2 linked regions of the Coturnix japonica genome follow. The protein of the gene in region 1 purifies or fractionates together with the protein of each later gene. This does not show direct contact. Links are inferred from orthologs where the notes say so. Each region holds a gene or a part of one and is shown in the gene's direction. Other genes may lie near its edges.

The links.
Region 2: the proteins of TDRD3 (region 1) and FMR1 purify together in Homo sapiens (affinity purification with mass spectrometry; 4 studies listed by BioGRID and IntAct, with this or other methods). This does not show direct contact. The link is inferred for Coturnix japonica from reciprocal best matches to the Homo sapiens genes TDRD3 and FMR1.

The regions. Positions count from the first base shown.
Region 1 is NC_029516.1:145,178,890-145,195,147, reverse strand, and holds the start of TDRD3 (tudor domain-containing protein 3), read left to right. Parts: upstream 1-8,929; 5' UTR 8,930-9,015; intron 9,016-10,306; exon of another isoform or gene 10,307-10,310; 5' UTR 10,311-10,372; intron 10,373-16,258. UniProt on the Homo sapiens protein: Scaffolding protein that specifically recognizes and binds dimethylarginine-containing proteins. Plays a role in the regulation of translation of target mRNAs by binding Arg/Gly-rich motifs (GAR) in dimethylarginine-containing proteins.
Region 2 is NC_029519.1:17,289,156-17,305,413, reverse strand, and holds the start of FMR1 (synaptic functional regulator FMR1), read left to right. Parts: upstream 1-6,217; 5' UTR 6,218-6,434; coding exon 6,435-6,485; intron 6,486-13,950; coding exon 13,951-14,003; intron 14,004-14,978; coding exon 14,979-15,072; intron 15,073-16,258.

The DNA.
Region 1 (16,258 bases):
TGTTAAAATGTGTTCTCTGTTGTGGAAGAACTTGGGTAAGAAGTGTGCTGAAAACATGTTTTATCATACTTAATTTCTGGAACAGTTTTAGGGAGGCTATGGATGGAAATGTGCAGTAATTAAAATGAGTTGTGTGTGGGTCTGGGGAGGTGTAAGTAGGAGTCAGGCTAACCTAATAATAGCCTAATAGTTCTGTTTGCATGTCAATAATTCTGAATAATTCAATAATTCTGAAGCTATCACTAGTTAATAGAGGTTTTTATAAAATATTCCTTCTCTTTGGAAAAGACAGTAAAGCTGGCTAAAAGTGATGGCATAAATAACACAGACTTTTAAGAACTTGACATTGCAGGCAGTGCTGTGGTGTTCTGTCTCTGGTGACCCCCAGCAGGGGTCTCCTTATCACCAAATCCCATCTCCTTGGGTATAAGGCAGCTTTTCTCCCCTCCCATATTGTAGAAGGTGGGAAAAAAAAAGCTGTTCATCAGGGCCAGTGGCTATTCCTGACTGTACCCCTCTCTCATGTTGGTAGTGGCTTGGAAGTGAGTCTGCAAGAGGAGGAGGTAGGAGCAGAGGTGGTTTAAAGAGCTTCTCAGCGGGTATCACTCATGCAGTTAAATAATTTTTGTGTATCTGGTATTGTGAATGTTTAAGACCACAACTCTGAAGCTATTGGTCTTTGTTTTTACTGAAAGTTTTAGGCAGGAATAACCTAGGATGAAGCTACTGCATTGATTTTGCTTAAAGCACTTCAGGCTTTAATTTTTTATTTTATTTTTTTCCCTTTTCCTATGCTCTGAACTTTCTTTAGGTCATGGTTTCATTGGCAAAATAGACTTTACTGTAGGATAATTAAGTTGTGCTTGCTTTCTGGGGTGGGGAAGGGGGAATCAATGGCAACTGTCTTGCTTTTACTAGATCCTATATATATATATAGGATTATTTATAGAATCATAGAATCACCAAGATTGGAAAAGACCTAAAAGATCATCCAGTCAACCATTTATCTATTACTAATAGCTCCCACTAAACCATGTCCCTCAACACAATATCCAGTCATTCCCTCAACCACCTCCCTGGCAGTCCATTCCGGTGCCTGACCATCCTTTCTGAGAAGTAATACCTCCTAATGTTCAGCCTGAATCTCCCCTGCCGCAGTATGGAACCATTCCCTCTAGTCCTATCACTAATGACATGAGAGAAGAGGCTGACCCCCAGCTCACTGCAACCTCCCTTCAGGAAAGTATAGAGAGCAATAAGGTCTCCCCTGAGCCTCCTCTTCTCCAGGCTGAATATTCCGAGCTCCTTCAGGCTCTCCTCATATGACCTGTGCTCCAGACCCCTCACCAGCTTTCTTGCTCTCCTTTGAACACGTTCCAGGGCCTCAATGTCTTTCTTGCAGTGAGGGGCCCAAAACTGGATGCAGTACTCGAGGTGTGTACTGCGACCTCACCAGTGCTGAATACAGTGGGACAATCAACCTCTCTGCTCCTGCTGGCAGCACTGTTTTTGATGCAAATCACGATGCCCTTGGCCTTCTTAGCCACTTGGGCACAGTCGGCTCGTTTTCAGTCAAGCATCAATGAATACCCCCAGGTCCATTTCCTCTACACAGTCTTCCAGCCACTCCGCCCCAAGCCTGTAGCATCACCCGGGGTTTTTGTAGCCGAAGTGCAGGACCCGTCATTTGGTCTTGTTGAACCTCATCCCGTTGACTTCAGCCCAACTCTCCAGCCTCTCCAAATCCCTCTGTAGGGCCTTGCTACCCCCAGGCAGATCCACACTCCCAACCATATATGTATAATTTTCTGTTTTTATGTTCTAAAAATATGTTGGCTTTCTTAGATGGTGTTTTTATTGAAAGTCAGACATTACAGACACCTGAAGGGAGGTTAAGGCCTTAAGGTTTGTCAGCTAAAACTGTGAGAATTGGAGCTTCGGAATGTATTTTTCATGAGTGTTTTGCTGAAGTTTCAGCTTGACCTGGGTTACAGACAGCACTTAGTGTTGTTATATGTCCAGGAGTGAAAAGTTAGGGAGCTAGGATACAAGTTTAGCTGCCCAGGGAGCCCGGGTGCTGTGCTGGCTGTGCAGCAGTTCTATAAATGTCAGTAATGTTTTAAAAGTAAAATTGGTATCCATTCACCTGAACAGCAACCTAATTACAACCACGTTTCTGTAATTCTCAGCATTCTGGATGATGTAAAGAAGTGGAATTCTACTGGCAATTTCCAGCTTCCCCAACCCTCCTATCATTAAGGAGTAAAATGAAGAAACATTATGTGTAAAGTTCCTTTGCTGCAGTTATATGTCTGATTGGACTATACTAGGAAGAATGGCTGTGGAAGGCTCACTGTCAGAATGTGAGGCATCGTCTAGGTCAGGCTTTGTTTGATACTCTCATTAAGCACCTGAATGGTGAAGCATGAAGCTCTGGGCTTAAACACAAGATAAAGCTCTGCAGGAATGTGGAGCTGTTAGTGAGCAGTATTAGGATTCAAAGTAAAATTAACAAACTGGAGAAGTGATGGGAGAACAAAAATACTTCTGGCTAGCAATGATCATCTCTGTAAGTACAGAGAGTGAGGCTCAGCGACTGCAAAAAGGAAAGGCACAATCTCTGCCCCACAAATGTGGAGAAAACAAGAAGCAACAGGAGGCAATGTGGCAAGGCTAGACATTGGGGAAAAAAAAAAAATCCCTTTTCTGGATGTCAGGATAGTAACAGTAAAATTGCCAAGAATGCTACTGAAAACAACAGTGGAGGTTATTTGTCATTACTGACAGATGTTTGCCTTGCAGATGAAGAAGTGTTCGGCCCTAATTTTGTTAGGACTTAGGAATCCTTTTCATAACTCCTCTGTTCTTCTTCACCTTCAAGTTCTGTTTTATTTTCTCTAGTAGCTTGCATAATACTACATCATCCTTTCAACGTCTGGGCTTTTTATTTTAAAACAGAGCAATGTCAGTTGCCTACCCAGCATTACGCAGGTTATAGGGCATGAAGAAGCCTTATTTTTAAACCTGATTTCCATGTTTAGCATAATAATGTTTTCAAATGTGTTTTGTGTTTTTTAAAAAACAGCTTTAATGATAGTGCCTCAGTAAAATTTGTACTACTGCGGTATAATTCCTTTATACAACTGTAATTCGGCAGAACATTTTGAAACCCTATCAAAAGACTACAGCACAAGTTTAAAATACGTAATGTGAAGGTAAGGTTCTTCTGCTGTGGAGCAATACTGGCACCCACTGGTGGCTTTGTATTATTGCGTGAAGTTCAACTTGATTAAAATTGTTCTTCCCCTTCGTGGCGTTACCAGCTATCAGAAATGTGAATGCTCTCTACAAAGGTTGCTCTTTGTGTGGCATGACTGCATAAATCTGTTTTCTTCGGGAAGAAATGGGAAGAACATTTTTGTTACTGCACACACACATTAGAATTAGCCATGTTAAATTTGCTTTAAAACTCCAGAGTTGTTTTAGGTGGCTGCCAGAATTACGGGAAGTACTGTTAATGCAGCTTGCATTTTTGGTTCCTGTTTCAGTGTTTCTGTGGAGAGGTATGGACATTAAAAAACATAAATTTTATTTAGCATGCTTATTAATAACTATTTTCCTGCCTCCCTCCCTCTTTCCTGCCTCCCTCCCTCCTTACCTCCTTCCTTCCTTCTTTCTTTCTCACCCCAAGGGAAGATTTTTGGTTGAATATGGACTGTTAATTGCAAATAGCAAAAACAGACTTTTCAAGAAAGCTGCTGGTAGAAAAAAAATAGCATTAGGTAAGTTGTTTACCAGGTGGATTTAATTCTAGAATGAAGCTTTTAATTTAAACACTGTAAAATTTCTACATGCACATATGCACATTTGCTTGCATATGAGGTACTTGATCCAGCAGTAAAGTGCAGGCAAGCACAAATATGCATCTGTCTTTGGTAGCAGGATTTCTTTAATGCTTCAGATGCAGGTGGTTATAGTGTGGCAGTAACAAATCTGTCTGATTAGGGTATGTCAGGTGTAATCTGTTCCTGATGAGGTAAAGCAGAAGGTAAAATGAGTTGGCTAGGGACATAGTTGAGACTGGTACTGCAGAATTACAGCCCCCAACAATGGGAAATATCAAAGAGAAGAGTGTGGGTGTCTGCGGGAAACATTCAGAAGTGGACTATTAGGTTGATGTCGCAGTTGATATGAAGGAGCAGTGGGGAAAAAAGCTTTCAGTGTTACCACTCGTATTTATTTTGTTAGGAGGAACTGCCAAAATTTGTTTTTCTTAGGAGCTAATAGAGAACGTTTTGACAGAAAAATTACAGAGTTGGATTTATATGTGAATGGTTCCCACAAAATACTAGTGGATTTCTCCTAGTAATACTGCCACTGCAGCGTCTCATTCAGAAATGTAAGAACAGGTGCCTTCTGTTTAAAAAGGAGTTGCTCTTCTGACAAAAGCTGTTGCTAAGAGGATTGTGCTGCTACATTTCTCAGATGAGTGAAGCTGGATGCGTAGAGGAGGAATAGATGAGACAAATATCCCTTGGATTCCAGCAAATATAATGTGGAAGAATTGCAGGAGAAGCATTTATTTTCCTTTCTCTTCTGGTCTACTCTCCCAAGAGAATGATCCGCTGATAAACATCTCAACCTTATGAGGCAGCTTGGAGCCCATTTAGTTGTAAACCGATTTTATTTCTTATTTTTTAATTTGTATTAATGTTTCAAGGCTGCAAAATCCCTGTGTGACTCATAGAGCATTACTTGGTATAATTCCTTTGAAATCGATACAGTTGTCTGATTACTTCAGTTTATAACCTCTGAGATTGTTCAACTCTAGTGAGTATTTTTTTCCTTAGAAACTGAAAATTCTTGCAATTAATGCTGATACAATTACCAGCTTTCAGAAGTTCAGTGAGTAACATGCACACACACGTGCTGTTTCCTCAAAAGCATCATAAAATAGCTTGGGTTTTAAGAGACTTTAAGCCCATCCAGTTCCAACCCTGTGCTGTGGGTAGAGCTGCCACCCACCAGCTCAGTCTAAGTCCCCATCTAACCTGGCTTGAGTGTCTCCAGAGTGGAGCACCCACAACCTCTCTGGGCAGCCTGTTCCAATGCCACACCACCCTCTCAATGAAAAAAATTGCCCTGACATCTAATAGCGTAGTATTAGGATGTTTAAGAACATTGTGGACAAAGCCAAAAAATAAGCTGCAAGTTGGAAGCTAGTTGCCTTCTTTTAAGCCTTTCACTTGCAGGATATCTTGCAGGATACTGTTATTTGCATTACATGTTAAGAAAATAATTTGTTTCATCACTGTCTGTGTAAGATGTCAGTGGTCAGCTGTTGCCCTGCATTGTGCTTCTTAAAAGCTTTACTGAGCTTGGCTTTTCTCACCCATTTATTTCATCGTTTTTATACTTTCTCCTTAAGTACACATGCATAATTCTGACTTCTGACTTGTGTGTTTAATGAAAATATGAAGGGAAATGTCTTGATTGTGACAGCACAATATTCCTGTGCTGGATTGTTCCATGTGGTGCCCCCCCCCACCCCCTCGTTCAAAGAAGAGGGAGAAGCTTGGGATTAAGGTGTGCAGAAAAAGATCTGTCCCATGGTACTTGAATCTGTACAGTGCTGCCAGCTATGTCTTGGGGATTCTGAGTTCATGAGCAGGTTCCAGCGGTGTAATCTAGTTCATGGACAGCTTAGGAGTGCTTCCCACCCCTTGGCGGTAGGAATCATGTTGGATTAGTGTAATGGGATCATTTTGTAGTTCACCTTTCATTATGTAGGGTTGCGGTAGGTCATGGTATCTTGCAAAATGTGCAGAACAGTTAATGTAGGCGCTGTGAGGCACTTGAATGACTGTAATGCAGGTGCTGATCTCCAGGGCTCCTTCTGAGGAGGGTTTCTCTGATTTTGATTTTGGTTCAGGGTCAGATTTTCTTCTTCTATATAATAAAGGGGGAAAAATATGAAGTGTCTTTTGCTATGTGCTGTACATTCAGCACGTCACATACCCTTATTAAGAACAGAAAGAAGCGACTTTCAACCAAGCAAAGGAATTTCAGACCTTATGCCAGCTAAAGAGCTAATTTGGTCAATCATAACTCCCATTTCATGCTTGAAAAACGTTTTCTCTGTACAAATGCATTTATTTTAGAAGAAATTTCTTAGAATTACTGGCTCTTATTTATTTATTTATTTATTTTTCTTAAATACTTTGTGGGCCTGTAGCAGGAAATGTTTGTAACTTAGATAGTTATTACAGGAGGCAATATAGACAATAAGGAGAACAAATATACTTATTTTAAAGAACTTTGCAGAGTTTTGAAGAAAATATGTATTAGGAATACTACTTGTATGAAGCAGCAAGAGGGTTAAATGGTTAAAACATCATTAGTTTGACATGCACTCCTTCCAGGCTTCTGTCTGGGTAGAAGAAATGTGTGTTTTGGTTCCGTCTGGGTATACAGCCTTTTCTAATCGCAATTCTTCACTAATCTCCTGACCATTTCTGATGATTGTTTTACTTATATGTTCTGTTACACAGAAACACCACTTGAGAAGTTATTGGAAAGCTGTTTTGATTGGCTGTTTTTTTTTTTTTTGTTTTTGTTTTTTTAAAAATTTATTTTAGTTTGAAGACTAATTTAAAAACTGATTATTGTGTTTTTGCTGAGAACCTGTAGTGTTTCCTTAAATCAAGCCAGAAGGTGTCCTCAAATGGCATTTCATTATTGTCTCCTCTGTAATGTGGATGGAGATTTCAGTCTGGTGTGCAATGTTTCTCTTAAGTGCTGTTGTTAACTGACATATTAACAAGTCAGAAAAGAAAAACCTTTTTCAATGTGCATATGTGTATTTATCATTTTGTCTCAAACCATTTGAAGAATTCAGAGGGAGGTGTCACACAGGAACAGGTTGCCCAAGGAAGCTGTGGATGCCCCATCCTTGGAGGCATTCAAGGCCAGGCTAGATGTGGCTCTGGGCAGTTTGGTCTGTTGGTTGGTGACCCTGCACACAGCAGGGGGTTGAAACTCCATGATCACCGTGATCCTTTTTAACCTGGACCATTCTATGATTCTATGAAGTAGTGAGACAAAGGAAACTAAGAAATTTTATCAGCTGTGTTTTAGCCTTCACTTTTAAGTGAGAGATGGAAACACGACTCAGCAGTGAGTTTTATGGTAGCAGAAGTAATCAATTTTATCCTATCTAGGGAAAATTTAATTCTGGGTCAGGTTGTTGTTTACTCACTCTCTAACGAATATATTTTTTTCCTGCTGATAAATCTTAGTGCTTGCATCTCAGTACTACACTGTGTAGCTCATAATGGAATTGCAGTTCTGCTAGCTTCAGCAGAACCAAAGAATTACTTAATTTGCACAAGAGAAGGAATGTTTCCACAACTTGTCTGAAATTCAGCTTGTGGGGTTTGTATTCCACCCACTCCTGAAACAACTGATCCTCAACTCTGTACTAAAGATTATAGGAGGTAGACTTGCAGATTCTATTAAATTTCTCCTTATGGAAACCCTACTGGTGTAATTAATCCACAGCTGAGGCCCCAGGTGTGTAGTGCTGCCTATAGAATATACCTGTTCCCATTTCCTCTGGTAGGGTGTGTGATTTCTGTTCTACTTTACATTCCGATTCCAGCTAACAAGTCTGTCTGAGAATTCCAAGTGGGAATTACCACTTGAATCTTCACAGGTGGTGATACCCAAGCTCAGAGGCACTCAGTTGAGAAATCTGCTTTCCTGCGTGGACTAACAAATCCTGCCACCTTATTCTCTAGTGTATGCTCCGTATGAAAAAATAGGATTGCTTCTTCCACATTATAATTTATTTATTTAGTTATTTATCGAGTTCTGGTCCCTCAGGATTTGCTAAGTGTCAGTGTCTGATTTGAACAGCTACACTGCTATCAAGTGTCTGGGTCAGAGCACAACGAGGATCATTAATTAGTCTGGCAGCACTGTCAGGGCAACGTTCATGTTAGCTGAGCTAGAATTAAAAAGGTGTATTGAGTCTGCTTTCGTTCAAATCTTTATATGATTTTATTTTACACTTGGGAATGATTCTCTTTAAATATTTCTTTAAGTGTTCTGGAATACTTAAACTTTAATTATTATTATTATTATTATTATTTCCTTTAATGGTTATTTATTCTTTGAGGAATAATGGTTTCTCGTTAGGTAATTGGTACATGAATATTATTTGGGCAAGTTCTGTGTTTCAGATTCAGAGTCTGACAATTATCAGTGTAATGATTGCTGTTGATGTTTTTAAAGAAAAGGCAGAACTGTACAGATAAAGCAGATCTCCATCTACATGGGAATGAAAACTGAGGGGTTGTAGTGAGAAGTAGGAGGCAAATTGAGCAACAAATGTCACAGTTTCTAACTGCTCAAGTAAAACTTACATTCTCCTTAAGTGTTTTTGAACATGAGAATGTGTCAGCCCTTTTAAATTGATAATGCACATCCTTTCAGTGGGTCTTCTTTAATTGCCAGGTGATTAGATTTATTGCATGCTTACAGAATTTTGGCAGGAAGGTGGTGATCCTGGACTGCCACTGTGAAAATCTCAAATGCTTCCAGAGATGTTCTGTTTCTAAAATTGTTCACCACATTTGACTCTTGGGATATGTGGAGATACAAATCCACTTCTACAAGTTATTTTGTAGGTTAGGTGAGCAAGAAGAAAGTTTGTAGAATGACAGTATAATATTTGCCTCCTTAAAGCATTTGAGTGCATCGTCTTGCTCTTTAGAAACTGATGTGGTTGTTTGTGGTTTTTTTCTTCCTATGTTTCATAACATAGAAAATACAAACTAAAAATGATCTTTGCATGCAGAACAGATATTCACCTATTACATACATCATGTATATCCTAATATGTCTGTTTTTTTTTTTCTTTAACACAGGTATCTTTCAGATGAAGGAATCGAAACTTGCATAAATTCATCTGAAAAAGTCAATACGAATGACATTATCCTAGTTGCACTTAATGTAAGTTATGATTGTGAACTTTTTCTCTGACAACACACTGAAAACAATATATCTGATGGCTCAGGTGGAAGTCTATAACTCTAATTAAATACACTGTTGTCTGTGCGATTTACATAAAGGACAAAGCACCTTTCTCCTTCCCAGAATGTATGAATTATTTCTGAATTTCATTTGGAAATGACGCCTATTCCAACTAGAAGCCTAATGGGGAGAAAAATGAGAATCATTTGCAGTAGGAAGATATTTCTGTGTTTTGGAAATGTAAATCTAAAGTATAAGCAGTACTTGAAATGAAATCAGAAGTGCTGTGTATGGATTTAAGAAATTATAGAACAAAATATCAGCTTGCTAGGATTAGTAAAACACCCTTACTTAAATTGACTTCTGGGTATGCTATTTTTTAAAGCCTGTTCAAGCAAACATTGAGTTTGCTATGATGCGTTCTTATTTATGTAACTACAAGCATTGCTTCAATTACTGTAGATATCTTGATTTAGTAATTATTTCTGCCACGAGGAAATAAACAAATTTGTGTGTTGTATTTCCAGCTTGGCTGATAGATAACCAAGATAAACCAGAAATATTATGAAAGTACCCAAAGCCAATCTTAATGGATTATCAGTATTTTTGTCTTTAAGTTAGTTGTTGTTTAAATTCCCAGGAGATTATGTTTCCTGTTGGATAAGTAGGGAATACCATTGTGTTTTGAAAAGCAGGATAAAGAGAGTTTAGATTCCACTTCCTAAAAATTCACACCTCTCATTGGCTGTTAAAAGTCAAAAGAAACCAAGAAGCCAACTGATGTTTTTTTGTGTATTGCTTGAATAGGAATGAAAGAAATGTAAGCGTGCCTTCAGTTCTTCAAATGCTTTTATTTTGTCTAAGATCTTGCAAAGGGTTTGTAAAAGTTCTGTCTCCTTCCTTGTTGCTGTAGTTGCAAAGCATCTTTCTGGAGACTTGTCAAATTCTGTACGAATACAGATTATTGCAGGGACAGTTCAAAGGAGTTGCTGTGCTGTTCAGAGGTAAATAACAGGCAAGCGACAGATCGGTTTCCTTGGGTGGGCTCAGTTTGAAAACCAAATGTACTTTCTTATCACTCTGTGGCTATATTGTGCAACAGAAAGTAAGTTGAATGTCTATGCTCTCTTTTATGGTATGTGCTCTGAATATCTGTAGAGTATCCTTATTTTGACATTACAGAAGCCCTTCTTTTTCTTGTTTTATGATTGTTTTCTTTGAAATAGGATATTTTAGATTTATATTCTGTTGTCTTCTATATTAATTTCAGACAGATTTAAGAACCATTGGCAAGAAATTCCTCCCCAGTGACATCAATGGTGGAAAGGTGGAAAAGGTAGATAATATTCACTTCTCTTGTTGCGATTTCTTTGTGATGACAGTTATCTGTACTGCATTAGTCTCTTTTTGGCATTATATCATGTACAAATTAAACCAATATTTGAGGATAAATATGTTAACACATTAGCTTGTGCACTAGACTGTAATAGACTATTTCTAAATTCTGAAGTCCTTAAACAAATGTGATTGATCGTAGCAGCTTCCTTTATCACTCAGAAACAGTTTAAACTGTTGGATTTTGAGTTAATATCAAGTGCCTTGCTTTTGCTTTTGCTTTTTTTTTTTTTTTTCCCCTCTTATTCACTCGTGAGAACAACAAAGCATGTTAAGCATAAAGCAAAGTAGCTGTGAGATTATGATACATAATGATATATGTTAGTAATACCTTGATTTATCCACTGATATACGTGATTAAAGCTGTAAACTTTGTTGTTGTGTAACCAGTAGTCTGTATGGATAATCCATGTCAGATGATACAGTGCTTTATAATCTATATAATATTCTTTTTTTCTATACTTTTATGTTCCAGATTTTTGACTTTTGTTGTATCTTTATGTAGTACTTGAGTTTTGACCTCACTGGGGTGCTCTTCCTGTGTTCTTCCTAAAATTCAGTTGACAGATAAGATAAATCAAGGAATTATATTTTAAAGGTAGTGGTAATTCTCCATTCAAGAAGTTATTCCTACATTCCAAATACTCATGACATATATCGGTGATGTGAAATTTCTTGAGAAACATATTACATTACTGTTGAAATTGAGTATGGCAGTAAATCAAAGCAGAATTATTTTAAGAAAACAAGCTTGATGAGTGAGGCTGTTTAAATTTGTCCAGATTTATTTTTTCTGATGATACTGTTGTCAAGACCAAGTATAGTGAGCATCAGTCCCAATGTTGACCCCCTTAGGGGTACCACTTGTCACTGATCTCTTTCCGGACACTGAGCCGTGGATCACTACTTTCTAGGTACAGTCTTGCAACCAGTTACTCATCCATCAACCAGTCAACCAATCAAATTAGTATCATTCCAATTTAGTGAGAAGGATGTTATGGGGGACCATGTTAGAAGACTTCCTAGAGTCTACATAGATGACATTAGGGGCTCCCCCTTGTCCTCAGTCACAGTTACACCATCAAAAATAGCAAGGTCAGTCAGGCAGGACTTGCCCTTGGTGAATACATGCTTATGCACACATCCTACAACATCTCCCTCTCTTCCATATGTCTTAACATAGCTTCCAGGAGGATCTGCTCCATGACCTTCCCAGTGCATAGGTGAGTCATAGAATCGTAGAATATCTTTGGTTGGAAGGGACCTCAAAGGTCATCCAGTTACAAACCCCTCTTGTAGGCTGAGTTGCCAACTACTAGGTCAAGCACTAGATCTTGAACACTTCCAAAAATGAGGCACTGGCAGCCTCTGGGCAGCCTATTCCAGCGCCTCACTTGTTCATTCTTTCTACTCTTCTTACAAGTGGATGCTACACTGTCTTTTTTCCTGTCACCAGGTACTTTACCTGACTGACTTGACTTTTCAAATATCATTGAGTGAGGCTTGGCCATTACACCAGCCTCAGGACTCTGAGATGCATCTCATCAGTTCATAGAACTATAGATGTTTGGATTCTGCAGGTGAATGCCAACCTGATCTTCACTTACAGTGCAAGGGACATTACTCCCCCAGTTCCTGCCTTCCAACCCATCCACTTGAAGGGTGTGTGAAGAGCAGTTGCCAGTGAAGACTGAGGCAAAAAAGTTAAGTCCCTCAGTTTTCTTCTGTTCATTGTTACCAGCCTGCCCTTATTCCTCATAAGTGAGGATGTGCCCTCTTGAACTTTCCTTTTCTGAGTGATGTACCTGTAAAAGCCTTTCTTGCCCTTATTTGCATTCATTGTTAAGTTCAGTTCTAGTTGGGCCTTCTCCTTCCTGACCTCATTTTTACACAGCCTAGCAGTATCCCTATATTCTTCACAGGGTACCTGTCTCTGCTTCTGTTGCCTGTGTCTTCCTGTTCTTTGGTTTGACCAGCAGATCCCCATTCAGCTATGCTGGTCTTTTGCCATTCTTCAGGGACAGGTCTTTACACTCTGTTCCTTCCTCAGTGTGAAGGGCAGTGCCTTCTCCCGTCCTTCCTCACCTTCTGAACAGCTTGTACTTGTTGATAGCTGCACTCCAATTGTGGAAATCATCCTACAAGGTTTTAGTAGTGGCAACTATGTCATGTCCTTTTAGTACAGTGGTGGCTTGATTGGGACAGGAGTGACTTGTCTATATAATCTGTTGGTAGAAGGCAGTCGTTTGTAGTTCAGAAATGCTTCAGAACAGATCAAAAAATTTCATGCTATAGTTTTTCCTCTCATACAAAATTTCTATCCGCATTATGTATCTGTATCTCAAGAATGTGTGATCTGTTTTCCATCTTGCAGGGAAAGTAAATTTATTGTGTAGTATAAATGCAATAGATAAATATTTTTAGAAAATGTATGGTTACTTGACCGTCATAGGTGATTGTCATTAATACATAAAAATATTTTATCATTTATTTACATCTGTTCTGTATGGCTTTAAAAAAATCTATACTACCAGCACTAGCCACAAGATGGCCGTATTTGCATAGGATTTAAAAAGCTGAACATTCATTTCCATCTAAATGACTGTATACCATGAATATTTGTGAAGTATTTTAAGTGGAATAAAGACACAAGGAGGCCTTATAAAAAATTAGAACATGTTATTCAGCAGTGATGCTACATTTACTTCATTTTCTTTTGAGTATATGTGTTCCATTACAATTTAAGCATTACTTCCTCAAGCATTCAGAAATAAAGCATTTATCTGATCAGTGAAATCCTGAGTACTGATAAGCTGATGGTAAGCAGTTAAAACATAACTCGTCACCTATTCTAATTATTCTTTGAAGTTGCTCTTATGCTTCCTGGTTCCTGTCCATACATCGGTATAACTAACAGTGCTTAGTTGCCTTCTGCTCTCTCTGTGGATGTCTGTTGGTTTCTTGCAGACTTTTTTGCTGTAAGGTATGATTGGATTTGTTATTTCAGCTACAACTGGTCTCCATGAAGTAGTTCCAGTCTAGAGATGCTTGCATTTACTGTCCAGTGCTATATCAGATGTCCTGCTATTTAAAGCTGTGTATGTAAAAATTATGTATTCTTTTCCCTGATATATATATATATATATACTTTTTTTTTTTTTCCAATGGAGGATGATTTTGACAAGGCTTAGTTCTGTCAATGCATGCAGTAATGCTGATGGATCAAACAGAGTAATAGTCATTTTATAGCTGTTTATGAGCTTTAAGTTAAGCTCTTGTCCTCAAACTCTCCTAATGCCTGTTTCAGGAGCTTTAAAGAGTTATTTTTCCATTCGTATTCTTGAGGAAAAAGTATATAGCGCTAGCTATGTTCGGTTTAATCTTTCTAAAAGATTGGGTTTTTGTTTTCAGATCATGTTGAGTGTGTCAGAGCAATGCCTCTAGGAAAACAGTGTTGTAAACAGTAGAATACTATCTAGTTTTATTGCAGTTATATTAGGTAGTTATTGGGCATTGTTTCAAATGTTACTCCAATAGCTTTCAGATCAGAAGGGAGTGATTTATTAAAAGGCTATATATTATTGCAATCACAGTGATTAAGAAAGTCGGTTTGCTATTGGATGTTCTGTTATCCAGTCTTGATCTGGAACATCTCTTTTTTTTTTCTGAGGGTTCAAGCCATTACTTCCATGCTTTGTGTGCATTAGTATTTTAACTGTCCCTGAGGCCAGTATAAGCATTTTTGAAAGACAACTGGTATTAAATACTTACTTTAAGGATTTGCTGGAAATGTTATTGGTTTGTTCTTCATGGTGTTTCCAGCTGTTGCTGAAATAGTCCCCTCCATTGAGTGTGTAGATCATTTATTTATTTGTTTACCCCTGAACATTACGTGGGGCCCTTATGCTTACTCATGTAGAAGAAACTTCTTAACTAACTGTATATGAGTGAATAATCTTCCTGGACACAATTAAGTTACATTACTAGAGTACTTTTTATCACTGTGGATATTTGCTTACTGTTTGTTTGTTTTTCTGTGTAAGAGTCATGCATGTTCTTGAATTAGCATTGCTGGGTTTTGTGAATAAACAGGAAGGACTAATATGTGCTGATGTTTTATACCACATAAGTTGAGGAAATCTAGGCGTTGTCTAATCATGATTTGCTTGATAATCAGCTCTCTAAATAAATACACAGCTCTGAAGGCATTGCAAGGTGGTCTGAAGTTTACTTCCGAGTGTGATTTTGACAAATATTTTGCTTAAGGTCTCAATAGAGTGGGAAAAAATAAAACATTAGTGACATTAGTCAGTAACATCAACAAGAAAGACAATGCGTGGAAATAGGGAAGCTGATATGCTCTAAAAAGAACAACCCAAAACAAACAATAGAACTCACCACCACCGAGAAACAGGATCCTGTCATCTTTGCGCATTCTGGATTACTAGTACTTGATTTTAATACAGTCAGTTGTAGAAAACAGTAGCTTACACTTGAAATTCATTATCACATCAACTTTCAGATGTTTCTTTGTCTATTTTTCCTCTTTCAAGTTCACGTGTTCTGTGTTACCTTATAGTTTTCACAAAAATTAATATAAAACATATAGTATGAATATTGTAATGATGTTATATAGTACAATACTCTATATAGTATAAGATGCTCTTATTCTATTTTTCATCTTGAAAAGCTAAGCAGATTATTCATAATAGGACTAATAATGGCTAAAGCCAGACTCATTACTCAGTTTATTTTACTTACGTTTTGTACTCTTATATGCATCCTTTAGATTTAGGCATTGAAAGCTTTTTTTGTACAACTAGTGGTCTGGCATTAAAAATGCCGTGTATTTATTTTTACACTTATTTCTCTTAACTTTAATACGATAACATCTGAACAGTGTTTAACAACATTCTGGCCTTAATATGCACATTGTTACTTGTCCAGTCAGTAAATGCTTTCAAAGTGAATGTTTTCTTATCTTCGATCCCATATTATTTAGGTGATGCCTTCGTTCTTATGGTCCAGGTAGTACAGTTTAGTTTCCTGTTTCTTTGGAATTTTAGAAAAACATTTTATGAGAATTGCATATTTTTCATCTCTACATTAGAAGTTAGCAGAAGTGCTCAAGAGAAGAGTGAATCTGTGGCTTGAAGGAACTGTGATAAAGCACAGAAGAGTGATCTAGGGAGCTTTTAGAGTTGGGCTGATGAATGCAGAAATGGTACCTTCAGAATCTAGCTGGTACTGGGTTTCATGGGACTTTTTAGCACACTCAGCAAGACACAGCTACTTGGTAGTTTAAGTATTAAATAGCATTGCTGTGTAATTTTAACTTGGTCAAGTTAAAATGGTTTTTACAGGGTGAGTAGCGATGATTCTTTAAGGTAGTTTACAAGGTTACCTGGCATAGGTTGATGATTAGAGGACTGGAGTACCTAGCCTACAAAGACAGGCTGAGGGAGCTGGCCTTTTTCAGCCTGAAGGAGAGAAGGCTCTGGGGAGACCTCATTATGACCTCAAATTACTTAAGAGAGCTTATAAGAAGAAGGCAAATCAGTGTTTTATGTGGGTAGAAAGTGACAGAACAAGGGCAATGGTTTTAATCTGAAAGAGGGGAGGTCTAGATTAGATGTCATGTGTACATGTTTCTCTGAGAGGATTCTGAGGTGCTGGAACATGCTGCACGTAGAAATTGTGGAATATTTCCCCCAGGAGGTGTTCAGGACTGGGCTGGATGAGGCCCTGGGCAACCTGATCTAATACATGACTTAATCACAAAATCGCAGAATTGTAGCAATTGGAAGGGACCTTCAGAAATCATCGA
Region 2 (16,258 bases), on another chromosome or scaffold:
CTGTAGTCAGTATTAAAGAAACTAAGATCATGTTTTCTTTCAAAACTTCAGTGAAGTGTTCAATTAGTCTTAAAACTTAATTAAACAGGGACATCAGTATTCTGAAAACAAATTTTCATCACCTCATGTTCTCACTTCAAGACAAATTGTCTTTGGGGGACCTCTTGTGGTAATGACTTAATTACTGCACTTTAATTCTTTTTTGTGTTTAGAAAATATTTGAGTTATGTCTTCAAACATATTTTCTGGAGCTTGTGAAGTTATAAAAAAGCAAGTTAGTATTACATTATTTATGAAAATCACATTAAAAATCCATATAGCAAATATATCCAGAATATAAGCATACATATGATATGTCAAAGACTGTTCAAGCTAATGAAGATAAAAAAGTCTTTCAAAGTCTTGGGGTTCTCTGCCCCCTGGCATGGAAGTCTTGTGTGGGGAGCAGAATAAATCCCTGATGATTCAGATGGAAACAGACCTACTACCTCCCACCTGGACTGACGCAAGCCCGTGGGGCCAGATGGGATCCACCCCAACAATGCTAAGGGATATGGTGGAGGTAATAGCCAAACTGCTTTCCATCATCTATCAGTGTTCCTGGTCACACAGAGAGGTCACAGAGAATTGGAGGCTTGCTAGTGAGAGCACTATCTAGAAGAAGGGTTGTAATGAGGATCTGGGGATCTACGGACCCAAAGGAAAGGCTGCTGCATGATCTGCAATCTGTGAAACTGTGCTGGCTGTCTTGGATCATCTCCCCATCTCCCATGTGCCTTAACATCTCTTTCAGGAGGATTTACTCCATTACCTTGTCAGGCACAGAGGTGAGGCTCACCGATCTGTAGTTCCCCAGGTCTCCCTTTCTCCTTTTCTTAAAAACGGGAGTGATGTTTCCCTTCAAATATGATGGAGAGCACCATAGCAACTGCATCAGCCAGTTCCTTCAGAACCAAATATCATCTGGTCCCATAGACTTGTACACATTCAGCCTCTCATGAGGAACTTGTTAAACATGCAAAATTTTGAATATCGTGGGGCTAAAAATGAACATTAGAGATTCTAACAGAATTTTTGATGCAAGAAATTTACAATGGATATAGCATTTAATTAAACATACAAGATAAAATTACTATGTCTGCAAGTGGAGACAGTGTAAACAGCATATATACATGAAATTGTATCATATGTGGCAGAAGCCATTGAGTTAGTCTTTAAAATAATGCAACAGTCTCTTGTTCACTGAAACATTTGGCTACAACTATAAAATGATGAGGAGTCTGAACCATTTGGTCTAAATGACAACTTGGTGGGGGGAGGGTGGGTGAGATGTTACTATCCCAGTCCCCAACTAGAGGTAAAAAATGCAAATTTTTTTAATTTTTATTTATTTAATTTTTTTTTCCTCACTGAGCATCAGAATGTTTGCCTAAGTAAGAACTGGATAAAATTCCATTGAGAGACTTTAACAGTTATGAGATAACCACCTTTTAAAAATAATGCTACTTCCCACTGTTCATTTCTCAGTGCCTATATGAATGGCTTTTCAGAAACCTAGAACCATTTCTTTATGATGGAAAGTCTCTGCTTGCTGCTGTCCTTCTGAAAGGCAGACATTGATGCCTGCCTTTTAAATGCTCAAGTTGCTACCATTTCTGAGGAAGATAGACAGTGAACAGGTACACCTAAGAGAAAAGTCCAAGGGAAATGATATTAGCTAAACTAGTACTGAAGATGAAAGGTAAAGGACTTTGATATGCCCTGAAACATGCCGTTTACCTTTGCTTCCTGCACTTCAACATTCCTAAGGACAAGGTATGAGGAAACATTTTTCTTATATTCTCTACAAATGTTTAACAAAGCACCTAGGTACATGCATAATGAATAAATGTTTATTACTATTATTATTATTTTGTTGAAGAAAACATATTTCAATATGCAGTGTGTCTCAAATACTTTCCAGATTAGTTGATAAGTCTGCAGTCTGCAGACTGCAGTCTGAAGTCACAAAGCAGCATAGATCTGAAAAAGAACTGAGCAACTGAAGGACCAAACACAAGACTTAAAGCAGATGAACTGAGATGTTTGGGGACCACGAAATACTATGAGGATGGAGGGGAGAAAGTATTTTGGTCCAAACATAATCCTGCAGTCTGTGTAATGGTATTGAACACCAGAGTTACATATGAGAAACCAAGTCAAACATTTGAATTAAACATTTTACTTTTATATTTTAAAAGACCAAAGTATTTTAGTATTTAGATCTTTACTGAGATCTATTTTTGCAGAGTCACCACGTTTCTGATAGACATTTAAAAGGATGTGGTTTACATTAAGGCTATATAAAAACTAGTTAATTAGTGAGCATCACATTTCAGAAGGGATTGACAATTCAGTCTGAAGATAGTTCAAAGTAAAATAGCAGAAACAGTAAGCAAATTGAAAAAATACAAAGAAACATTAGGAGTCAATGAGCAGAAAACTGACAGTATGCTCTCAAGATACATAAATTGGTCTAAGCAGACAAGGATAAGAATGTTTGCTAGACAAGACAAAACAGAAAATGCTGAATTTAAGTAATGGCAAAAATAAATAAATAAAGAATTGGGGAAGATTGTACAGTACAGCAGTGTTTAGCATAGAGGAAGTAGTGAAATGATCACTCGAAGACAGCTAAATTAGACATCCTGAGATGCTAACTGCTTAAAGATAATATACCTGCATGGCAGCAACCTATTTTGTTAAAAAGAGAATAACTAGAATAAATAAAAAATGCCAAAAAAAACTTACCTAACTTTGGTTTAGGACAGTACATGATCTCTCCAGAAGAATTACTCGGAGTTTAAATAAAAAGGCATTCCTAACATGAGAAATAGTGACAAGAGGTCTATTTTTCCTAATGTTTTTCATGGTACTGATACTATGTTACCTTATCTCCCCAGTGTTTTGTTTCATATACAAATGTTGCTACTCCTCTTTCAGCTTCTCCTCTAGTTCTCTTAGGCACTCTACCAACACCAAACAAGCCAGTAGTGAAATAGCCTGCTCAATGAGCAATGCAAGTTTTACAGTAAGTCATTACACTGAATCGACACTACATTGTACTCAAGAATTTGCTAAAATTAGAAAAATAGAACTATAGAATCATAGAATCACTAAGGTCAGAAAAGAACTCCAAGACTGTCCAGTCCAACTGTTCACCTACCACCAATATTTCCCCACTAAACCATGCCCCTTAGCATAGGAACATTTCTTGAACACCTCCACGGTTGGTGACTCAACCACCTCCCTGGGCAGCTTGTTCCAGCAAGTGACCTCTCTTTCAGAGAATAAATGTTTCCTGAAGTGCAACCTGAATTGCCCCTGGTGCAACTTGAGGCCATTCCCTCTAGCCTTATCACTAGTTACATGGGAGAAAAGGCTGACTCCCACCTCACTACAACTTCCCTTCTGGTAGTTGTAGAGAAATATAAGGTCTCCCCTGAGCCTTCTCTTCTCCATACTAAGCAATCTCAGTTCCCTCAGCCTCTCCTGGTAAGATTTGTGCTCCAGACCCCTTGCCAACTTCATTGCCCTTCTCTGGGCATGCTCCAGGGCCTCAATGTCTTTCTTGCACTCAGAGGCCCAAAACTGAACACAGTACTCAAGGTGCAGCCTCACCAGTGCTGAGTATATGAGGACAATCACTTCTGTGCTCCTGCTGTCAGCACCACTTCTGATACAAGCCAGGATGCCATTGGCCTTCTTGGCCATCTGGGCATGCTGCTGGCTCATGTTCAGCCAATTGTCAACCAACACCCCCAAGCCCATTCTCTACACAGTCCTCCAGCCACTCTGTCCCAAGCCTGTAGCATTGCCTGAGGTTGTTATGGCCAAAGTGAAGGATCCAGAACTCATTTTTGTTGAACTTCATCCCATTGGTCTCAGTTCAGCTATCCAAACTGTACAGATCCCTTTGTAGGGCCTTCCCATCCATAGGGCAAATCAACACTTCCTGCCAACTTGGTGTCATCTACAAACTTACTGAGGGTGCACTCAATGCTCTCGTCAAGGCCATCAATAAAGATATTGAACAGGACAGGCCCCAGTACCAACCCCTGGGGAACTCCACCTCAGGATCTGGATTTAACTCCATTCACCACCACTCTTAGGACCCTCCAGCCAATTTTTTATCAACAAAGAGTGTACTTGTCCAGGCCATGAGCTGCCAGCTTGTCTAGGAGAATATTGTGGGAGACTGTCAAAAGCTTTGCTGAAGTTTGGGTAGACTATGTCAACAGCATCTCCCTCATTTTCCAGGTGGAAATCACTCAATCATACCAGATAAGGTTGGTCAAACTGGACTTGTCTTTTGTGAACCCATGCTGGTTGGACCTGATCCCCTCATTGTCCCACACATGCCATGTGATCTCCCCCCGACGATCCACTCCAAAACATTACCTGGTATGGAGGTCAGGCTGACAGGCCAGTAGCTTCCCAGATCCTCCTTAGAAACCTTGTAGATGGGAGTCACAATGGCAAGCCTTGAATCCTCTGAGATCTCTCCAGTCAACCAGGACCTCTGATAGATGGTGGAGAGGTGCTTGGCTATCACCTCTGCCAGCTTTCTCAGCACCCTTGGGTGGATCCCATCTGGCACTATGCAGTTGTGGCAGTTCAGGTTGGGGTTAGTTGATATCTAACTGTTTTCACCTGAATCTTGAACGGTTTATTCTGCTCCCCACCTGAGATTTCCAGGTTATGGGGTACAGTACCCAAAGGATAACATCACAAACAGGCAAACACAGCATATGGGGATTACTATAGACAATCCTAACTCTCTCTCACACACACAAAGAAGATAATTTACAAGGTTTGTGGCAGTAACTTAAAAAACAAGAGAGATTAAATTGTAGACACAAATAGCAAGAGGTTTGAAAATTCATGATGTGCAGTATGTCATTCCGTGGCTTACACAATGAGAACACCATGCATTCAGAGCAATCACAGCCATGGTCATATACTGTAATTGTGATTTTTGAAGGTAAGAATCGAACCATTTCATCTTATCTTATTCCCCGCAGTTAGTAGAAAAGCACATTGGAAGATCGTGCTGGTTCTTGCATAGCTCTGATGACAGGCTGTACGAGCAGCATTAGTTCCATGACACACAATGCTTTGCCACAGCTACATTTCTTCCCAGACACCACCACCAAGTGCTATAGTGAACTGCATGCACACTGCTCCAGTCTGTTTTAAGAACACTTAAAACACTTGTAGGGTTGGAATTCACACACTAAGTGACCGTACACTAAGCTTTCAGATACAGCTGAAAACAGCAGACACAGCATGGCAAACTTTATTTTTGTTTCCATACACAGAGCTGGTTGAACGATGCCCCGCTCTCACATGAAGGCACAGAGGACCAGCACACCTGCCACCCAGACCTTCTGCATCGCTGATCACAGAATCACAGAATGACCCGGGTTGGAAGGGACCTCAAGGATCATGTAGTTCCAACCCCCCTGCCTGGCAGGGCCACCAAACATACACCTTTACTAGATCAGGTTGCCCAGGGCCCCGTCCAACCTGGCCTTGAACACCTCCAAGGACGGGGCATCCACAACCTCCCTGGGCCCGTTATGCCTCTCATGAGCTGTTTAGGCCACAGCCGTCAGGCTATCAGGCAGTGCAAAGCTCATTAAGACCCATCTCCCCTCTAGGATGTAATCAATCCTGCGCCATGAGCGCTCACATCACCAACCCCCTTCCCGCGCCCCTCGGCCCCTAAGCCCCGCCTCCACGGCTCTGCCCCAATCTGATTCGTCCAAACACCGGTGGCAGAACGCAACGTGATTTGCCAGCGGCGCAGTCACTCAGAGTCAGGACGGCAGGCTCGCGTGGGCCGGGCTGGATCGCAGTTTGACGCCGTTGCGGCTGTGTACGAGTGCGCGAGTACGCGCTCGCGAGATCGGGGGGGTGTGGGGCGGTGCGCGGCCGGGCCGTTAGGCAGCCGGGCAGCCCGGCAGTCGGCGCATGCTGCCTGGGGCCGGTTCCCCGCCCCGCCGCAGCCGTTCACGTGACGGGATTCAGTGGTTACAGCCGAAGCGAGCGCCTTCTGGCCGCCCCTACTCCTCGCGCGCCGCCCGGCGGTGGCCGTTTCGCTTTCATTTCCCGGAGGCCGAGGCCGAGCGGCGGCGGCGCGGAGCGGCCTGCAGTGCCACCCCCATCACCCCCCACCCCCTGCCCCGCCCCGCGCGGCCCCACCCCCGCGGGCTCACGGTGAACTGAGATTCCCCTTCCCCTCCCCCGCCCGGCACACGCACACCACACCTTTGCCTCCTCTTCCTCCTCCTCCTCCTTCTCCTCCTCCGGGTCTGGGAGAGAGAGAAAGAGAAAAGCTAAAGGAAGAGGTGCTGAGCCTGGGCCTCCCGCACCGCGCCGCCGCGCACAACATGGAGGAGCTGGTGGTGGAGGTGCGCGGCTCCAACGGGGCCTTTTACAAGGTACCGGGCGCTCGGGCTGGGCCGGGCCTCAGGGGAGGGAGCGGGGCTCGGGACGGGAGGAAGAGGAGGAGGCGACGGAGGCGGCAGCGGCTCCTCCCCGCGTGGAGGGAGAGTGGGGCCCTGGGGCAGGAGGGAGGAGTGGGGGCCGCGGCGGGGCCATCGCTGCGCCCGGGAGGCGGGAGGCGCGACGCCGGGGAGATGCGGCCCTGGGGCCGAGAGCTGTGCGGGCTACAGAGGGAGGGAAGGCCCCGACCGCGGAGGAGGCCTCGGGCCTTCGCCCATTGTGGGAAGGGGAGGCCCCGGCGCTGCTGGGGCGGGGGAGGAGGGCCTGGGCCTTCGTCTCCGGGAGCTGGAGCGAGGATCAGGGCCGGGGATGGGGCGTTAATTGTTAAATCCTTGGCTTTTGACGCTACTTAAGGAAAGTCTTTCTCGCTGTCCAGGTTCCCGGGAGAGCTGCACTGCTGGTGCACGGCGTTTAAGGCGGGGGAGGAGAGGGGTGCTTGTTCTATAGACGTTCACGATCAGAGCTGTTGTCAGTTATTTTTTTTAATCCCACGGCTGGGGACGTTGCATATTAACATTGAGAAGGGTGTTGCTTGACCAGAAATGTTTGCTGAGCTCCTATATGCATCTTATTATCAATTGTACCTTTTACTGAGCAGCGTTCCATGTTTGTTTCCAAGTCTGTGTGCTGAATAAAGCCATCACTGGTTCTTCAATGCACATATTGAGCTCTTAATTTTTCCGTTAATACTGGAAACTGGCGTGGCTTTGCTTGTGTTAAGATGTATTAATTAGTGTATCATTGGGTGCAAGGTATGGTTCTACCCTGTTCACTGAAAACTCGAGTTTGAGCATGGTGAACGTGGTGGGCCTACTATCATTGTCACATACACCTGTTTACAAACATACCAGAAACATTCCTCAATCTTTTCCTGCGAGTTTTCTGTTCTTTAAATGTTGTATTATTTTAAAATGTGGACGTTGTTATTGTGCAGCATCAAATATTTATGTTAGTAAGGAAAGAAGAGGTAGAATTTCACACTCTGATGTTAATGTGGTAGGGCAGACTGGTACCAAATGATACAGGTCCAACACTCTTTTGACTTGAGTTTTTTTTCCGTGGAGACAATTTAAAAGCTTCTAAAATACATTTGTTTGTCCTCCTTCCAGAGAAGTTTAAAATAAATTAAAAAGGAAAGTATGGAAGAAGTCTGAATGTTTGGTACACAGATGTATGCTGTGGGTTTGCAATGTTGAACTCAAAGTCCTGGATCTACATATCACTTCCTGTAGTTAAGTTGTTTAGTGCTTTGAAAAATCAGCTTTAAGGGTTTTTTTTAAGGTACAGTATTTGCATGGGAATAAACACAGGCATAAATATGTTACTTAAGAGAGAAGCTCTAATGAGGCTTTCCTCAAATCATATGACAGCATTTACACAGTAGTGCACAATAAGTGATACAAAAAATGATACTGTACGTTCTTTAATAACCAATGCTGTTAAAGCGACCAGGGAGATTATAAAACTTCTGTAAACTTTTTTGTAGTCGCATGTAGTTCTAATGTTTTTACGTTCATTTTCCCCTCTCCTCCAAAGTGTGTGCACACTTCTGATTGTAGTTAAGCTAATAATTACAGATAGGCATATACTCAGAGCGGTTTATTGCTTACATTTAGTTCAGTGTATCTGAGTTATGACATGGGCGTTGCTTCCAAATTGTAGATGATAGAAATATATAGAATATAGATATAGAAATTCAGATAGAGGAATTTGACTTTCTTTCTCCCTTCCCCTCCTTAGTCTGTAAGGATTGGTTGGGAGGGATTGGTCACATTATCTAAGGGAACTTAAATGGGACATGTAGGTTTATTACAGTTCATCTGTATTGTCTGTCTGGATGGAGCATTACACTTAAGATAAATAGAGCAACAGATTAATTTTCTTTTAGTTTTATTTATTTAGGGGGGAAAAAAGCCATCTCATGCAGTAATGCTCAATGTAGACCAGCAATTTTGCTGTAGCCTAAATTGCTGGTATTTTATTTACTGATCTTTCACATATCGTAATGTTTGGCTGTCAAACTAATATGAAGTAATTTATCTGAACATTTTCTTTCTTTTTGAGTTTTGTGCTTGTCTTGCAGATCTGGGACTTGATTATAAAACGAATTGATTGATCCCTCCATCACAAGAAGTGCGGAGTTGTTCAGTGTGGACGTAATTGCAGGATTCATTTTTTTTCTGCATAAGAAGTTTCTTTAAGCAGTCTCGTTTTACAACAATAACACAAAGCATATCTAAAGCAAATTTTTTTAATACCATCTCATGGTTTGCTGATAGTTTCTTCGGTTTGGAATCATTCTTGTGAACTTCATTATTATATGTAAATATTTTGGCAAAAAGAAACCTTGCTTCTGTGAGGATGTAGAGGGAAGGAATGTGAGGCTGCTGGAGTCATGAACAGGTGGAGTGGTACAAATCAGTGCCTCATTTCCCCTTGAGGCTTTCATAGGCTCTCTAAAGACCGTATGAATTCAAGTCTATAAGTGTGTTCTGATTTTGAGTGTTCCCAGCAACATCTTGATCTTGAAAGTAAAAAATCGGTGCCTAATTGTCACCTGAATTCTACTGAGAGACACAAACTAGGCTGTGGGACCTGATCCAGAATACATGCTGAGATGCATCTAAAGGGGTAATGTTCCATGTGCAACATAGGAGTTGATTTTGGTACTTTGGTAGATGGAATATGGATTGAGAATGTGGAAGATTTTAATACTGGTCAGGTTCATTCTTCCGCAAGAGTTCTTGAATGCATCATTTTGATAGCTGGATACTAATTCTTTCAAGGAGTAATGATTTAATTATGTTAAGAATGCTTTGCCATTCCATGAACTTTTTCTTCCCATATGACTTGTTTCATGGAAAGTATAGTGCAGTAGATAAGCATAATGTAGGAATAATCAGTAATTTAGTGCCTGAAAATGCTTTGTCATGACTTCATACACTGCTTGGCCCAGAATCCCTGGGAATAAAAGCTTAAATAACCTTATTTACTTTTAAGGCTATTCCAACAGCCAGGGCTGTGTATCTTAAGGAGACAGAACTGCCCTTTAGCAGCCCTCAGTTAAATAGCTAAATTGTGGAGGTGCTGTTAGGGTCTGTTGTTTTACATCGTGTTGGTTCATATAGTAATAGAAGGCTTTCATATTCTTATTGTCAGACAGTCTATTGTCCAGTCATTCCAGTGTTAGCTCTAGATATTATTTCCTTTGAAAAGAGAATGTAGTGGATGTCTTTTTAGCATGGGATTTATTTATTTATTTTTCCTTTCTCCAGTTTGGGAGTAATTATTTGTTGTAATCTCTGCTGGCAATAGGGAGCATCCTGTTGGAGGCAGCATACCATTAACAAGCATCTTTGTTCTCTTTGTTCCTTCACGGTCCTTCTGAGGATGATAGTCTGTGCTATTTTTTCTGATTCAGTTTTCAATTCTGTGACTTTTCTTCTTTTCCTGGTCTGCCTTTTTGTTCGGTTTGCCTTTTCTCTAATGTGATTTGCCCTTCCTTATGACTCTTGCAACAGGTATGAAATGTTACAGAACTGTTAGGCAGGTGTAGATATTGGTCTGTATAAATGTAAGTCTTTTGCCTTCGAGAGCGTATTTTTGCTTATCTTCACTTCTTAGATTTATTATTCTCCATTATTAAAATGGTTGACTGTTTCTTTCTGATGTAAGGGTTAGGAGGGACAACAGCACAAACTCTTAATGGAAGCTACAGCCTCTGTTCATTCCTTTGAAGCATCCGTCATGCCATTTAGTGCATAAATAAGTTTATACGTGTCTCCAGTAATTCTTACTGTCTATTTAGTAGTTCATAAAGCATGGAGAAAAATGCTAATAATTAATGTGACAGAAAGTGAAATCTGGTATAGGAAACGTGCCACAATTTGACTTTTCTTATCAGAGAAGAACAAGTAGACCCAGCCTCTGTAAAACTTGCTTCTATTTACAGAAGTAAAAGCACAACTTGCAGTGATGTGAATTTCTTTGTATGGTCTCTAACTTGATGTCACTGCAGTCAGTGATATCGTAGCTGCTGTAGTCACAGCGTCCTATTTCCGTATTTTAGTTCCATCTAGTTTCACTGTGTTTTCAGAGCTTCTTGTGTGTGTCCATATTTGTCGTAGCCAGTGTTCTATCTCTTGGGTGTGCATTTCAAGTCCACATATATGCACATTTAGGTTTGAGTTTCCATGCCCAATTTGGACTTCTTATTTCTGAAAAGACTGAGGATTGCTTACTGTGCTTCTAATAGCAGTTTGTGTGCAATCAGTACCTATCCTCTGCCTTCAGTGACATCTGGACTGGCTTATCCTGTTGTAGTGAATTTGACTTGTGATGATGATCTGTTGCTTCCTTTCAGCATTACGTGTAGTTTTCTGTGGTACGTGTAATAAAAAATACAGTGGTGTTAAGCGTTACTTTCAGCTTTCCAAGTGCTTTAATGATTAAGTTGGTTTTTATTTTTTACAGCTACTTAGAAAACTTGATGTTTCAAAACATTACGGTTTGTACTTAGAAATGCACAGGTCCTTAAGTGTACAAACTTAGAGCTTAAATTTTACTTAATACGGGTCTATTTAACTTGTTATACCTGTGGAAAATAGACATAATGCTGTAATATAGGCTGTAAAAAGTGATCTGATCAAAGTATCAGATTTTGTTTTTGATGTCACAAGATTGGAACTGCAGAACAAGGAAAAGCAGCTTTCTCTAGAATTAAAGTAGAATTAAGAAACTGTATGTTTAGGCTCTTGATATATTTTGTCTGATTGTTATCTAAGCATAAAGCTCATAGAAGTAGACTGAGGTATTGTGTATGTCATCTATTTGAATTGATGTATTTGCTAAGAATTTTATGTTTGTAAGATCAGCAAGGCTAGAAATCAAAGAGTGAATAAGTAACATCAATGTTTTTGGCCAGGCTGGAGGAAAAAGCAGATATTCTGTCTGTTTCTGTGGTTGACTCCTCTGAAGTCAGTGAAACGTCTTTACTGATGCTGCTTGTTCACGGTCAAAAATTCTTGATTAAGGCACGTTCAGATTTCTGGGTTGAGGCCAAAGCAGTGTTGAAGTGCCTTCATAGGATCTGGAAAGTGGGAAAGCTCTATAATAATTAACTTGTAAACCTTTGTGCATTATTGAGATCATCTTCAGCCTAATGAAGCTCACCCTTCTTTTATTGTGTGACAGCCAGTAACTAGCTCTTCAGTCTTTAAACCAGGACATGATGTTAAATTGAAAACAAAGATTGCCCATAGTTAAATATTCTTTCAGTGAGCTATTTGCTTTACATTTTCCAGATTTTTATAAGTGCTAGACTGTTTAAAGGTGCTAGATCAGTCTTCAGTTTGATAACTTAAGTTTGTGTTGCTATCTAGTGTGTTTATTGATAGTAGATTGCCAAATCTAGTTGCTTATGTTGCTGTAGTCGGGAGCTTCTACTCAAGATGATTTGGATGTTAGGAGCTGTCAGGCCTGAATATGAGAATTTTTTTAAACTACTGCGCTCATGCATTTTTCTGTCATAACCCATAATATTCAACAGAATGAGTTTTGGAGCATCTTCTGGGTTGTTAATGACTAGAGAGGGGATGACTTCTCCGAAAGGATCATTCATCTTTCTTTAGCGGAAGCAATTTTTGCTGTTTTGTGAATGTGATAATCACGTATCAACAAGTTATTTCTCAGGACACAGTATTTATTATGTTACTCTTAACTGTTTTCTTCACGGCTGCTCTTGGTAGCGTTTCTGTTGGATTCCCTTTATAAAATAACTTTTGTATACTCAAATGTTTCTAATAATACTAAGTCCTATCTTTTCCATTCTGTGGTGTTAAGGAGTCATAGCAAACACTCGGCAGTGTTATTTCAGGTATTAAAGGCATCAGTTTCTGTTCTATCCGTAAGAATAGGTGATTCAGAGCTGCGCATGGCAAGATATAAAACAACTTTTGCTCTTGTTGTCACTTTGCTTTGGCTTCTGTTCGAGATGGCGTTGTTTTCAGATTAATAACTAGCATTCTACTTCTTTGTTGTAGTTAATGTTTCTAATGACAGTTGTGAATATCTACTGCTTACTTTAATTATAATCAGTTATTGGAGCTCCATATTGGTCATTAGCTACTGCTTTGGTTTGATTTTGTGAGATACTGCTGTAATTTAGCGGATGCTTGAGAATACTTGTGAAAGAAGCTGGTGGATTTATTTATTTTCTTAACCTCTTAGGTGCCATACCTAACAGAATCTTAACACTCTTTCAAGACCTGTTATTCTTTTGTTGGGAACTTGAAAAGTGGAGAGAAAGAAATGTACTACAGTTCATTAATTACAACTTACAAGAAGGTTGCTGTTAAGTTATTTTCAACTTACTGAGAATTTGTTCATCTACTGGGGTGCACCTCCTTTGGTAGAATTCACTTCTGTAATCTCTCTTGGACTTTCATTCACCTCTACTTTGCAAGGGTGTGAGAAGCTTGGATAAATGCTAGTGATGAAATACTCAGCACGTTGCTAGTGCCCATCTATTTCAGTAATTTTTAAAGGTATTTTTGAAAAGAAACAAACAATGCATTATTTTCAACCCTCATTGCTGTGTGCCCTCTGTTTGAGGCTATGAAAAATATCTTTCCTAGTGAATCCCTAAGTTTTTTTAATTAGAATATAATCTTGGTGTGTGGTGGATGGGGGAGTTTGAGCATAGAGCTGAGAAATGATCAAGGGTCATTGAGTTCAGTAGCGTAAGTGGAAAAAAGCACCCTCTAGGCTTATAGACTTAACTGTGTGCGCTGCTTCATGGTTGTGTGGGAGACTTAGCACAGCTGCTATTCATTGCCCAGAAGAAAGCAAGGAAGGCTGCAGGGCATTTTGCTTAAGTTTGTATGCTAAGGATGCTGACTGTGTGAATGAAAATTGTGCTAGAATGGATATGTGTGATTTTTGGTGGATCAATATTCAGGCTTATCTTGTGGTGAAACAAGTCTTTTTTTTTTTTTTTTTCTTAAGGGTAGTCAAGTTTAATTTCTAAACTGTAGTTTTCTTGTCAGAAAGTATGAGATAATAACTATAACTCAAGTTTAAGACATTGGATTTCATATCTCATACTTCAAAATGATTTTGTCATTTGTTAGTGACCTCTTCCATTATTTCTAAGAAATAGAAAGGCTGTGTGTATTACTTGGACATTCTGTTTGCCTGCCTGTTTACAGGGGTGAATTCAGGAGGTTACCAGCTTTCAGTGCATGTTTTATATTGGTCTACTACAATACGTAAAAGGCTGACTCAAAAACATATTTACATTCTGAATAATACTAATATCTGTGGAAGAAAAGCGTTGTTTGAGGCTTGTTTTTTAAAAGTATCTGCAGACATACTGTAAGTGTACCTCTTTTTTCTTCACAGGCATTTGTAAAGGATGTACATGAAGATTCAATAACAGTCGCATTTGAAAACAAGTAAGTATATTGCTGTTGTATCTGCAAATACAGAGTTAGGAGAGTTTCTATCTTGAATCTGATGAACCTAAATAGCACTTTTGTTGACGGAGAGTGGCATCCTTAAGATAGTGTATGATTCTGCTGCTATGTTTTAGAATTAGGGGATTAACTACTATGTACGTTTTGTCTGTGCTTTCAATTGTTTAAATATTTTAAATTACAAAAGCAGGGGAAGGTGAATGATCTGAAAATTGTATTATCGGACTTACATAATAGCAACCAGTGTTTTAAGTAAGCGGTGATACCATGACTGCTTCTATCTTATTTGAATATTTTATTTCAGATTTTCCCAATTGCTTTATTACAAAACTTGTTTTATAGATGGTGATGAATGCCAGTTTCCCATGCTTAAATTTTGTACCATGATTTAGTGGCACAGCAAGTTAGTCTTCTGTTACATTGTTTAGCTTAGATTTTGTTTCCTTCAGGAAGGAAAACCAAGGTGAGGTGTGTGTATGTATATGTGTATGTACATATATAATCCTATCTAGTGTATCTTTGTTATGGAGTAGTGTATTTTTTAGGGGTCATTTTATGGTTACTTTTGGAAAAAAAACAAAAAAAAACAAAAAAAAAACTTGTTAATTTTATTAAATTTTAAAGAATTTTAAAATTCAAAGTGAATTCAGACATAACCTGGGTTATTTCCTTTTAAGCTAAAGATGAAAGAGACTGATTTTGAAGTAAAAGTTTAAAAGTGTTAAGAATTTTTTTAACCTGAATTTTTGATGTTGGGGATAAAACCTGTAGCTATAAATTCTAAAAACAACTGGAAGGTTTCAAAACAGTACAGGTAGGAGCAAGATTTTGATATACGTACGCAAATGCTCTGCAAAACAAAAAAAAAAAAAAAAGATGAAATGAAATGAATGAATTTATTTCTTAAAAGGAAAGTGAAAGTGTTTAGGTCATTCACTGTATTTTCATTCGTAGCTGGCAACCAGAGAGACAAATACCATTCCATGATGTGAGGTTTCCACCACCTGCAGGCTATAATAAAGACATAAATGAAAGTGATGAAGTGGAGGTATGTATATTCCATTAACAAAGTATGTTTTTGAGAAGAGAGAGAAAATGTCAGCCAAGCCAGTGGAAGGCTTGTCCCCATATTATGTTGCAACTCTTTTGATTTGAAATACAATGTAGAAAATGATGTCAAACTTACCCTCAAAATGTATTTTTGACAGTATGACAATATCATTATGTGTACACTGATTTACAAAAGAGATGAGATTTTCTTTGAGCATGGATCTTTTGTCAGAACTCAGTGATTTGTAAATATATGCAATGTTAACTTGGACTATAGTTCTTTAACTACATTTAGACTTTATTAAATGTGTGTGTAGATAAGTTAATATAATGTCTGTTTGTTAGCGAAACTTTGAACTGAATGAAAAAATGTGCATTCTGTATACAGGTTGCTCCAAAGGTAATGCCTTCTATTTATTTCCATGGAAACTACAACAGTTACAAAGAGCACAATAGCAGAATCACAGAACTGTAGGGGCTAGAATATCTCTAGAGATCAGGTCCAACCCCCTTGCCAAAGCAGGCTCTCTAGACCAGGTTGCACAGGTAGGCGTTCAGGTGGCTCTTGAACATCTCCACAGAAGGAGACTCCACAGCCTCTCTGAGCAACCTGTTCCAGTGCTCCATCACCCTTACTGTGAAGAAGTTCTTGTGCACATTTGTGCAGAACTTCGTATACTTCAGTTTGTGGACATTTCCAATTGTCCTGTCAGTATGCACTACTTAGAAAACTCTGGCCTCTTCCCTTTGCCTCCCAAACCTTAGATATTTATTGATCAGATCCCCACTGGGTCATCTTTTCTCAAGGCTGGACAGGCCTGGGTCATTCAGCATTTCCTGAGGTGCTCCAGGTCCTTTGTCATCTTTATGGCCCTCTGCTGGACACTACTTAACAGAGCAAATTCTCAGCTGCAAAACACAATTTTTCACCATAGTCAGCCACCATTAGCGTTTTTGCCAGCAATGAACAAAGGCTGAGCTTGAAAAAATCCACACAGGCAAATGTCACCTGATAAATGTCAGTGGGTTATGTTTTTTCTGCATGGAGGAGTTCATTTCCATACCTTTGCTTCATACACTCCATTCTGTCAGGCTGCCTCTCAGCTGCCATCTGTCACATGGTGACAGAATCCAACAGAATATGGACAGGAAGGCTCTACCTCTACTGTCATATCACCAGCTTC